Linked DNA regions of Macaca mulatta. The protein of the gene in region 1 purifies or fractionates together with the protein of each later gene. This does not show direct contact. Links are inferred from orthologs where the notes say so. Each region holds a gene or a part of one and is shown on either strand. Other genes may lie near its edges.

The links.
Region 2: the proteins of PSMD14 (region 1) and SNAI1 purify together in Homo sapiens (affinity purification with western blotting; 3 studies listed by BioGRID, with this or other methods). This does not show direct contact. The link is inferred for Macaca mulatta from reciprocal best matches to the Homo sapiens genes PSMD14 and SNAI1.
Region 3: the proteins of PSMD14 (region 1) and PSME4 purify together in Homo sapiens (affinity purification with mass spectrometry, with the first as the bait; 3 studies listed by BioGRID). This does not show direct contact. The link is inferred for Macaca mulatta from reciprocal best matches to the Homo sapiens genes PSMD14 and PSME4.

Annotation. Positions count from the first base shown.
Region 1 is NC_133417.1:66,182,950-66,186,449, forward strand, and holds part of PSMD14 (26S proteasome non-ATPase regulatory subunit 14), read left to right. Parts: intron 1-350; coding exon 351-421; intron 422-1,415; coding exon 1,416-1,566; intron 1,567-3,500.
Region 2 is NC_133415.1:102,822,936-102,827,100, forward strand, and holds the start of SNAI1 (zinc finger protein SNAI1), read left to right. Parts: upstream 1-1,365; 5' UTR 1,366-1,838; coding exon 1,839-1,920; intron 1,921-2,611; coding exon 2,612-3,139; intron 3,140-4,165. UniProt on the Homo sapiens protein: Involved in induction of the epithelial to mesenchymal transition (EMT), formation and maintenance of embryonic mesoderm, growth arrest, survival and cell migration.
Region 3 is NC_133418.1:70,690,816-70,695,035, forward strand, and holds the start of PSME4 (proteasome activator complex subunit 4), read left to right. Parts: upstream 1-1,420; 5' UTR 1,421-1,652; coding exon 1,653-1,894; intron 1,895-4,220. UniProt on the Homo sapiens protein: Associated component of the proteasome that specifically recognizes acetylated histones and promotes ATP- and ubiquitin-independent degradation of core histones during spermatogenesis and DNA damage response.

The DNA.
Region 1 (3,500 bases):
GTTATGATAAGATGGCATTAGGAAGCATGCTTGCCTAGATAGGTCTAACCAATAGCTCTGGTTGATTCAATTGTTTTCGTATTTCTGGTAAACATATACATAGCAATGGCCATTATATTCTTAAGAATCCTGAAAGTTGGCTTAACTCATTAGCCAACAGCAGTTTGTTAGTTGGCAATTTTAGAAGCTTGATTGGTGTGAGGTTTATAATTGAATGACTTGAGTAGGTATCAAATGTAGGTATCAAAACCTATAAAATGATTTTGGCAACCCCAAATAATATACATAGGGAAGCTTTTTTTTTTTCCAAATTTACAAAAATTAATAATTTTTATTTCTTTCTAAATCAGGGTGTAAGTGTGGAGGCAGTTGATCCAGTGTTCCAAGCTAAAATGTTGGATATGTTGAAGCAGACAGGAAGGTAAGCATTTTAAGTGATCAGCTAAAGAAATAATGGGAAATATTTATAGAGACATACCTCAAAGTTATAGATGTTTATCAGTATCATTTCTAGAAAAAGAGGTCACATAGTTGACATAAAAGTATCTGTAAATATCGGTGCCATGCACCGCCTGTCTAGTATGTCTTCCCTTTAGAACCAAAGAAATTTGCCCATCAGAGAACTGCCTCATGTTAAAATTCTTGACTGTCACATAGTAAGCTTGGGCTGTAGCTTCCCTCTGTTTAGCATATGGAGTTACTGTCTAGTCACTTATAATTGAAAGAGCTTGTATGTTCCATGTATTTGAGAGCTGCAACTGAATGAGATTATGAATATTTAATTATGTTTGTAGGCATAGTTTTAAAGACAGAGAAAGTATAATCCAAATATTCTGAAGTTTTTTTCCTCAGACCAAATCTCTCAAAGTTGCCATTCTCTTGCTCAAATTCTTCTACTGTGGAAAAAACTTCAAAATTTATGTTAGCAAAAGGCTCAGCAGCTGAGCAGAACAGTGCAAATTGGTTTTTGACTGAGTTCCTAGTTCTACTGCTGGTTTAATTGATATTTAATCCTTTCACAACAGTGGATCCTGGTGTCCATTGTTAAAAATGTACTCTGTGCCTGGAAAATCCAACTCCCAGAGCTAAGGAGTTAAAGAGTAGATATTTACTTGAATGCTGAAAGGGTAAAAACTGGCTCTGAGAAACTGTGGTAACAAGGTGAAAAACTGAAAGCCTTATCTACCACTGCTAATGTGCATCTCTTAATGATAGTACTCCTTTGTCACACATATTCATTTCCATGTTTTCTGGATAATATGGTGTACAATTTCAGGGTTTCTAATGGTGCTTTTTCACACCTGTGTGTTTTTCATCTCTTCTTAATTTATACCCCGTTAGTGTGTTGTTTCTTTTCATATCATAAATGTATTACTTGTTCTGTTCTGAGCATCTGAATGCCCTCTTTGTTTCAGGCCGGAGATGGTTGTTGGTTGGTATCACAGTCACCCTGGCTTTGGTTGTTGGCTTTCTGGTGTGGATATCAACACTCAGCAGAGCTTTGAAGCCTTGTCGGAGAGAGCTGTGGCAGTGGTTGTGGATCCCATTCAGAGTGTAAAAGGAAAGGTAGAGTAGATTCTATCTTTATTGCCATCTACTGCCACATTCTGTTTACAGATACATTAAATAAAAATCCATTTTGTTCAAAGCAGGATTCTTAATTATACAGAAAGCTGCTATCTGTTTACTTAAAAAACAAACAAACAAAAAAACTTTACAAGTTGATAACTGTGTCTTGGTATTATTAGCAATTTATTTAGAGATTTCTTCTTTAATCACTTGTGTAATTGTCATGAATATTTATCTTTAAATTTTTTGAATTTCATAAAATTAGCAAAGTTAAACCATACTCAAAGCCTGCTATAAACATTTTATTAATATTTAAATAAACATTGCTTTACCTTTATTTTCAAATGATGAATTTGGAATTGGCAGAACATTTTAAAAATCTATTTAAAGGGCATTGTTTTGCAGACATTGTGCAGAACATATTCTGGAGGTGTGTTTTCCAAATATTTTAGACAATGAAAACTTGCCCAAAGACTTGGTATCAACCATTCACGTTTTTGGAGTGAGGATGCAAATGAATGATTAAATATGCTAAATAATTCTGAAAACAGATTAACTTGGAAAGCATATTGTGTTATAGTTCTTTGTTGAAACCCCTTTTGTTCTTGTTTAGTTCTTTCTCTTTTTTTGTTCATTCTTTCTTTTTTTTTTTTTTTTTTTTTTTTATTTCTTTCTTTCTAGCCCCATATGCCATTTTCCTATTTCCTGCCTCATGACAGCAGGGAGCAGCTCTATTATCACCTTCACAGAGCTGTCTGCAAATGTGAGAGGCAATTCGATTTTGCTCAACCACAGGGAGAGTGGATTAGAAAAACTACAGAACATACAGAAATTGGCTAGGTGGTTACTGCTTTAAAATACTGCTGAGGTGTCTTGTTTGAGCATGTACTTCCATTGTAGTGTAGAATAATTGTTAAAATAAAATCACAATATATTTATGCAATCCTTTTTATGCAGGTTTTACAAATAATTTTTAGAGCACTTAGAAATAAATATTAGCTTGTTATCTATCAGACCTGGAGTTTGATAGTAGTGCAGATTACATTTATATCTGCTCACCAGCTCAAACAAACTAAACATGGCTATTAAAACATGGAGTTTTTATGTGTCATAAATTTGAAGTTGAATGTTTTCTGACATCATACCATTATCATGTATAAAAATTGAGGTCTTCTCTAAATCATCATCTTATTTGGTGTGATTTAGCTTTTCAGAGGCAAAAACTATCCACAAAAACAATAATAGAAACTGATATACTAGACCATTCAGAATGGATAGCTTCTGATTCTTACTATATGCCTATATTTCAATTTATTTACTTTTTTTTAACTAAATGGGTTAGATAAAAGAGGTTGAAAAATCCTTGATTGTTATTGGCTTTATGAATTACAGTATAATATCTCTTAAGTTTAATTCTGTATTTTAAGGTACCTTTTTAGTAACTCGGAAGTAATTTCATTTAAGTAATGATTACTGTTTTACAGATATAACAATTATCTAACAAAGTCCCCTACCACAATATTTACAAGTAATAATTAAAGCTTAATTTTAAATATAATTAGAATTCTGTTTCGTAGTAATTAGCTTAACTTAGGTTTTATGATATCTTGACTCGTGATGGTGGCTACTTTGAAAAAGGAAAGTAAAAACAAACACAATGAAAGAAAGCATTCTCAAAATACAGTAAATAAATGTAAATGTAAATAAATGAGTATGTATTTTATTTTTGGTTATCCTTTTGTAATGTTTAAAATGGCAATTTTAGTTTCCAAACCTAGTTTACGTGTTGTATAATATTGGAATTTTCATTATTTCTAATTAATTGTAATTTATATTAAAATGATGAATTTCATTTAATAATATGCATTCATCACATGTCTTAACAATGTTAAATTTAGTTTTTAAAAATAATATATCTAAAATTTATGAAG
Region 2 (4,165 bases), on another chromosome or scaffold:
GCCACGGTGGGAAAGGTCTGGGATGTTGGAGGAACAGAAGGAAGGGTGGGGGAGGGATCCTTGTTCATGGGGGAGGGAGAGAGGCTCAAGCCAAGGTCAGCCGGGGTCAGAGCAGCGGGGCCGAGTTGGCCGAGGAAAGGACTTTGGCTTTTACTCTGAGACAGGCGCATGGGAGGGTTTGAGCAGAGGAGGGGGTGCTCTGGCCTCACTCTGGCTTCCAGCAGAGGATCCTGATTGGAGCTAAATTGACACGGGAGGGAGAGTATTCCGCCTAATAACTGCTTCCTGCCTATGTCCTCCACCCTACTCCCCACTCTCCAGCTAGAAACAGGGGAAGACGATTTTGTTCACGGCTGTTACATCCGGCACCAAGTGACCAAAACAGACAGTAGTTCTGCCCTTCATGTTGCTGGTGGTGGTGTGGGGTGCTTATAGGTTTTTCTAGTCTTCCTTCACAGGTGGAAACAAGAACGGTGAGACCTGTGAGGTTTATTTCAGCGCTACTCCCGGGCCTGGTATGCCTCCCAGGGAAGCTGGGGTGGGGGTGCAGCTGCCCCTCACCTGGGCCCACCCCACATGCATTCAGTCAGGGCCCCTACAGAGCAACGTTAGAGCCTTTAGACACAGGATCGAGGATCTTCACAGGGGTGAGGAGACACGCCCGGCCCATCCCTTCTTTCTCCCGCCGGCCTACAAGGATCTTTTTCTACGAAACTCTAACCAGGTCCCTCGTCAGCTGAAAATCCTTCGGTGGCTCCCCAGTGCCTTTGAGGCAAAGTCCAACCTCCTACGAGGCCCTGGGGCACAGCACATCTGACCCTTCCGGGCCTGCCCACCCCACGCCATCCCTGAGAGCTGCTCTCTAGGAGTTACTCTGAAGCAGTTGCCACTTCTTCCCTCGGGCCTTTTCCCTTGATAATTCTTCACTTCCTCTGGGAAGTCACCCCGACCCCCTGTCAGGTGACCCGCCTCTTAACGGTCGCTGCGTCCCGTCTCTCCCCCGCCAAAGCACACTTCCCTTTGCATTGTAATTGTCTGTTTACTTCGTCTGTCTCCCCCACTGGACCGGGAGCTACCCTTCGGGAGAGGCCTTGAATGTCCTGTCCGGGGCTGTGCCCTGCCCCAGGTACAGCTGGGCCCTCCGCAAACACTGGCTAAGGGAAGGAACGGGCGCTCTTCGCTAGCTGGGCCAGGCTGCTTTGCAAAACGGCCGTAGCATTTCACGCCGCCAGGAGCCACGTGCGGTGTCCGTTTCCTCGCTTCCTCCCCAGCAATGTGCATTTCCCTCGTCAATGCCACGCTCTCCAGGCGCCAGCCGGGCGGAGGAAATTTCCGCCCCCTCCTAAGCCCGAGGCGGGGGCGGGCGTCGGAAGGTCAGGTGTCCCGGCCCGCGCGCAGCGCCAGGGGGCGTCAGAAGCGCTCCGACCACGGGGCGCTGAGCAGGTGGGCGCGCGGCGTTCTGGCGGGGTCCCACCTCGCAGGGGCCTCGCTTCGCTCGACGTCCCGCCCCGGACAGTCCGAGCACCACGGACGACCCGCGCTGCGCCTGCGAACTCCGCCTCGGAGGAGCCCCCGCCCGGGCTCCCAGCGCCACGCGGCGCGAGCCCGGCCAGCCCCCGGCGCACCTGCTCGGGGAGTGGCCTTCGGCGGAGACGGGCCTCCGATTGGCGCGGAGGTGACAAAGGGGCGTGGCAGATGAGGCCCCTCCCCTCCCACCCCCTTGGAGTATTTAAGGGAGTTGGCGGCGCGGCTGCTCTCATTGCGCCGCGGTCCGGCCTTGTGAGTGGTACGTTTGCGCTGCTCCTGCGCGACTCGGCGACCCCAGTGCCTCGGCCACCATGCCGCGCTCTTTCCTCGTCAGAAAGCCCTCCGACCCCAATCGGAAGCCTAACTACAGCGAGCTGCAGGACTCTAATCCAGGTGTGTTGGAGGGGTGGTGGGCTCCAGGAGGTTTGGGGGAGACAGGCGAAGGCTGCGTGGGGGCCACCTGAGGGAGGCGGCCTGTCTGAGCCAGGATCGAGTCACAGGGTGTTTTGTGGAGCATTGCGGGCTCGGGCTCGGGCTCGGGAGACCGGGCAGGTGGGTCCCCAGTCCTGGGGATCGGTCTGGGTGGTTGGGGGAGTGCTGTGTAGAGAGCAGGGGTTTTGTGCTTGGGTGGCCTGTGTAGCCGGCGAGAGGCGGAGGAGCTCCGCGAGAGTGGGAGAGGAGGCCTGTGTCAGGAAGGCCCTCTGGACGCTGCTGGGGAGAGTCCGGAGTCCAGAGGGTTGAGGGGAGGGGTGGGGAGACGAGATGTGTGTGAGGAGGGGGATTGGGGCAGGGTGGTGGCTCCAGGGCTGGGGTGATGGGGTTCTGGCCTCAGGCTGGGGACTTGGGACTTAGGAGAGGGAGATCTGGAAATGACCCCCTTCAACTGGGGGTCCTACCTGTGAGAGACTCAGATTGGGTGACCTGGGCCAGGAGGGCAGGAACCTGGTCTGTCCTGTGGATCATTTTTTTTATCTAATTATGTGTTGAGAATCAGCCCTACCCAGCCCCTGGCCAGCGGTGGGTTCATGTTTGTTGATTGAGTGAATGATTTAATTAACGCCTGACTCTGCTTTTTCTCTCTCAGAGTTTACCTTCCAGCAGCCCTACGACCAGGCCCACCTGCTGGCAGCCATCCCACCTCCAGAGATCCTCAATCCCACCGCCTCGCTGCCAATGCTCATCTGGGACTCTGTCCTGGCGCCCCAAGCCCAGCCAATTGCCTGGGCCTCCCTTCGGCCCCAGGAGAGTCCCAGGGCGGCAGAGCTGACCTCCCTGTCGGACGAGGACAGTGGGAAAGGCTCCCAGCCTCCCAGCCCACCCTCACCGGCTACTTCGTCCTTCTCCTCTACTTCAGCCTCTTCCTTGGAGGCTGAGGCCTATGCTGCCTTCCCAGGCTTGGGCCAAGTGCCCAAGCAGCTGGCCCAGCTCTCTGAGGCCAAGGATCTCCAGTCTCGAAAGGCCTTCAACTGCAAATACTGCAACAAGGAATACCTCAGCCTGGGTGCCCTCAAGATGCACATCCGAAGCCACACGCTGCCCTGCGTCTGCGGAACCTGCGGGAAGGCCTTCTCCAGGCCCTGGCTGCTACAAGGCCATGTCCGGACCCACACTGGTAAGTGCCCCTCCAGGCGCCCCCACCGTTGCTTTCTGTGGCAGCTTTGTGAATTGGGACTTGCTGTTCTCATTCGCAAAGTTGTGGACACTGAGGCCCCGAGTCTCCTAACTTCCAGCTCAAGTTCAGGGGCCTGCTCTCTGGAAATGTTTGGCAGAAACGTTCCTTCATCAGCTAAGCAGATGAGCAAAGCAGACACCTTCCCAATCCCTGCAGCCTGTTTCTCAGCCAAATGGGCTGGAGCTGGATATCGGAAAAGTGCAACCAACACCTTGCTCTGGGGGCCACAGGTGTGAAGGGGCCCACCCAGCCCCACCCTCTCCCGGTCCGCCCCCTCCCTAGCCAGACAGGATGTTGTCAGACCCCCCACCTGGCTCTGAATCCTTTGAGAACTTTCTCAAAGCTTAGGCTGATGTTTCACTTCTGTGAGCCTCATTTTCTCTATCTTTCAGATGGGCATGAGAACAGCTTGTGGGGTTTCTGTACGGGCTAAATGCAGGAATGCATATGGGAATCACCTGGCAAAGTGCCGGGTACCTGCTAAACTGTCACAAAAATGGTTCCTTGGCATTTGCTCTGCTTCCCTGCTGTGTGACTTTGGGCAAGCAACTTAACCTCTCTGAGACTCGGGAGAATTATGATGGCATATGTTTTAGAGAGTGGCTGTAGGCCGGGCGCGGTGGCTCAAGCCTGTAATCCCAGCACTTTGGGAGGCCGAGACGGGCGGATCACAAGGTCAGGAGATCGAGACCAGCCTGGCTAACATGGTGAAACCCCGTCTCTACTAAAAAAAATACAAAAAACTAGCCGGGTGAGGTGGCAGGCGCCTGTAGTCCCAGCTACTCGGGAGGCTGAGGCAGGAGAATGGCGTAGACCCGGGAGGCGGAGCTGAGATGCGGCCACTGCACTCCAGCCTGGGCGACAGAGTGAGACTCCGTCTCAAAAAAAAAAAAAAAAAAAAAAAGAGAGTGGCTGTAAAGGTGGCTAATCACTTTATAGTAATTTATTATACCCGAATAGTTCTCA
Region 3 (4,220 bases), on another chromosome or scaffold:
CAATTTCAACTGACATCCAGGCCATAATTATGTCACACCTTAAGGGGTCCTCCAGTTCCCAATCTTGTCAGTTGCAACCAATTTTCCAGACGAAGCCAGAGAGCCGGAGTGAATTTTTTTTTTTTTTTGAGACGGAATTGCGCTCTTTTTGCCCAGGGTGGAGTGCCCTGGCGCGATCTCGGCTCGCTGCAACCACTGCCTTCCGGTTTCAAGCGATTCTCCTACCTCAGCCTCCCGAGAAGCTGGGATTACAGGCGTCCGCCACCATGCCCGGCTAATTTTTTTGTATTTTTAGTAGAGACGGGGTTTCACCATGTTGGCCAGGCTGGTCTCGAACTCCTGACCTGGTGATCCGCCCGCCTCGGCCTGCCAAAAGTGCTGGAATTACAGGCGTGAGCCACCGCGCCCGGCCGCCAGAGTGATTCTTTAAAAATGTAAATTATATCATCCCACTGCTATGCTTAAAATCTTTTGGAAGTTTGTCTCTAGGATAAAGTTCTGAATTCCTTAGGATTTCCTTCTCAGTCTCATTTCTCCGTCCCCTCTCTTACGCTATTTTGAAATTTGAATTTTTAGAATACATGCTTGCAGCCTCAAGAGCTGTTCTCTCAGCTAAATACGTGTTCTCCTCCCTCCTTTTTCTAATCAACTTTGCACTCAACCCTTACAGCTTAATTTAAGTATCACTTCTAGGAAACTGACACCCTCTCAACCCCCTAGTTTGAACTTCTCTGTAGAGTTTCTAAGGCTTCCTGTACTTATCTAGCAATTAAGAGCATTATCTTGTAATTCACGTCTTTATCTCTGCTAGACTAAGTCCTTGGGAGGGCGGAAACCAGGGTAAACTTTCCATCTCAATAGCCTAAACGGAGTGCCTTACACACGAAACAGTCGTTCAATTAGCATTTATTCAGTGAGTTAACGATTTTCTTCCTTGGAATGATGGCGGCCAGAATACCAGAAAGATGGGGACTAAAAGGGGACAGAATAATTAAATCTATAAGGAACAAGCGGGAAGGAGTAAATAAATCTATAAGGAGCAAGTGGGTACGTAGGCTTTTCCATAAATCCCTGTAACCTAAAAGCCGGGGCTGCTCGGCTAGGGGGACCAGGCCGACCTGGCGAACCTGTCGCCGCGACTGGGGCTCCGGTGGGCGCCGCCTGGAGTGCGCGACCCCCGGCGAAGCAGGACAATAGCTTGGAATTCGGCCTCGTGTTTCCGGTGAGGCAGCCTCGCGCTGGGCCGGTGAGGCCCGGGGTGGGGGCTCCGAGCCGGGCCCACGGCAAGGAAGGCGCGGCCCGCTGGGCTCCAGCTGCCGCCACCACCGCCTCCCCCGACGCCGTCGCTCCGCCCCGCCCCGCCCCGGAAGTGACTTGAGACCGGTCCGGAACCTCTGAGCCCGGCGGCTGCAGCGTCACCAGCCGAGCCGGTGCGGGGCGGGCAGAGCGGCCGCTGCCGCCGCCAACGAACCGGGAACCGCGCGGGGCCCAGCAGCACGCCGGCCAGGGAAGGGGGCCTAGCGATCGGTCAGAGGGCGACGGGCCGCCGGCGGCCGCAGGGCGACGAAGACGCGGAGGAGGCGGAGCCCGGAGAGGGGTGGGGGTCGGGGAGGGTTAGGGTGGGAGGGGGTAGGGGGGGTGTCCCTGGGCTCATGGAGCTGGCCGAACGGGCGAGAGTCGGAGAGCCCCCGGAGCCGGGCGGGCGTTCCGAGCCGGGCCCGCGGGGCTTCGTCCCGCAGAAAGAGATCGTCTACAACAAGCTGCTGCCCTACGCCGAGCGGCTAGACGCCGAGTCCGACTTGCAGCTGGCCCAGATCAAATGCAACCTGGGCCGGGCGGTGCAGCTCCAAGAGCTGTGGCCCGGGGGCCTCTTCTGGACCAGGAAACTCTCCACGTAAGTGTGCCCGGGCCTGCAGGCCGGGCCGGGGGGAGAGGCTTAGTGAGAGGTGTCGGGGATGGGTGCTCTTTGTCCAGAGGACTGGACCCTTAGCTCTGTCCTCGCTGGAGCTGTCCCCGAGCGGTGGTCCCAGGGTCGTGACAGAGCCTGTGAAGCACTCAAGCTGTCCTCCCTGACACTTTCTTACCGGGATTCCCGGGTCCTCACCAGCCCTGCACGTCCTCTCCATCTGCTTCTCCCGAAGTGTTCGGGTTGTTGTCTTCCCACCTGGGGGGACCTGGGGAGCCCAAGGGCCCCGGCCCCGAGGGAGAGAGGTGAGCCTTTCCCAAGGGTCCTTCGTGGATCTTTGCGCATAGGAGAGGCGGGGCAGAGAGGATTTGCCTTTGGGGGAGTTCTGTGACTTCTCTCCCTGCTTCCTCCGGTTCTTCCTTCCCCTACGATCCCCGCCTCTTCACATCTCCGTTGGCGTCTAGTAACTTTCTGAATGGAAAGGAGACCATTGGGAAACTTAAGGGTTCTGCTTTTTTGGGGCCCGCTCAGACCTGGCGGAGTTGATCGAAAAGGTTGGTTTAAAGTCAGACTTCATTCTTGAGCTTAACGTCTTAGACGTTAATGTGGACAATGTTGTTTAAGATCCTAAGGATTGTGTGTTGTTCCTGTTGTGACATTTCTTTTGGAGAGGCCTTTAAGATACTGAGGAAAGTAGGGAAGAGTACTGTCAGGATGTCCACGGCGATACTCGTATCAGGCTTGTGTTAATATTTTGAGTTACTCAGATTAACATAGATTACCTGAATCAGTTTCAGGAGTTCTGTTTGTAAACTAGCTTCAAACTATAGTGTCACTGAAATTAGGAAAAAAACAAAAAACAAAGAATAAAAATACAGTGGGGGAGGAAAGGTTACATTTACCTGCTGGGTGGGCATCTTTACTGTGTCGGAAGAGCTTTTTAAGAAATAATTTTGCTGTATCTTGTTTGGTTAACTGTACATAAAATCTAGTAACATGGTATGTTCACGCATGTGGGTATGGATGGGTGAACACACAAGACCTAAGTCACTCATTCAGTGTTTACCCAAATCTACTGATTGAACTGAGTGATGACTCAGGGTTTTGTAATAGTTTTGTCCATATTTCTTCACTGGATGATTCTCGTCTGCCAATTATTAAGGAGCCTCTGACAAATTTCTCATTTCCACTTGAGGGGTGGGTGGGAACTAAAATTAAAAAGAAGCAAAACTGAAACATGTAATTTGCCCTCTTCAGAGAGTGATCATAAAATGTCAAGGTTAACAACTCTCCTCCTGACTACAGTATAAAGAAGTTTTTGGTGTTAACGATCCTTAGGAGAATGGGGGTGAGGGGCGGCAGAAGCAGGAATGCAACAGGGAGAACCACGTTTAGTCAAAAAAAGAATACTTCATAAATAGTTACAATCCAAATGCTTTTTGAAGTGAGACTCCTAGGTTTTTGTGTTACTCAGGCACAGTAAAAATAGTCACTTTGTTACAGTGATTCCCCATTTTAATCACTTGGATTAGACTTGCTGGGAGAATACCTACCATTTTTGGGGATGCAAACAGCTTTTTTTAGATATGCAGTATATACATATGCCATGGTGCGAAGGCATATCTGGTTTGGATTTATGAACCTAGAATCTACCAAGGCATACTTAAACATTGTTTTCTGAAGTATTTATTGTTATCAAGTTTGGTAAATTAGCACTCCGGGTTTTGTTATTTTGGCTTATTAGGTAAAAGTTTTTACTTAGAAAGGGCTAAAAATAACAGTGGAGCTAATGTTTGGTGTTTAGGGCTGGATTGCTGATGGCTTAATACCCATGAACCTATAACCATTTATATCTAAATAACCAACAAGAAATGCTATCGGGTAAAATTTTGTTTTGGTGTAATGGTTAAATGCTGGAAACTGATTCTTGGTATTGCACTATGAGACATTTTGAATGCAGTGGGACATGTTGTGATCTTGGGTGTGTTTTTTTCCTAAGTCATGTTAAGGTGACCTGTTTATAGTTGTGCTTGTTTTTTAAGCCTTCTGTGTTGCATAAGTGAACATCTGAATAATGCCAAAACGTGTGACGAAAGCTGAGTGGTGATCATATTTAGTACTTCGTAGAATAGAAAGTGGTAATGAAAAGAAATCTAGTTTCTCCCACTAGCCCTGAGACTGTGGGAAAGTTACTTAATCATGTGTTTCAGTATTCTTGTGCGTGAAATGAGGAGATTGGACTAAATAATTCTTTTTTTTTTTTTTTTTTTTTTTTTGAGGTGGAGTCTTGCTGTTTCCCAGGCTGGAGTGCAGT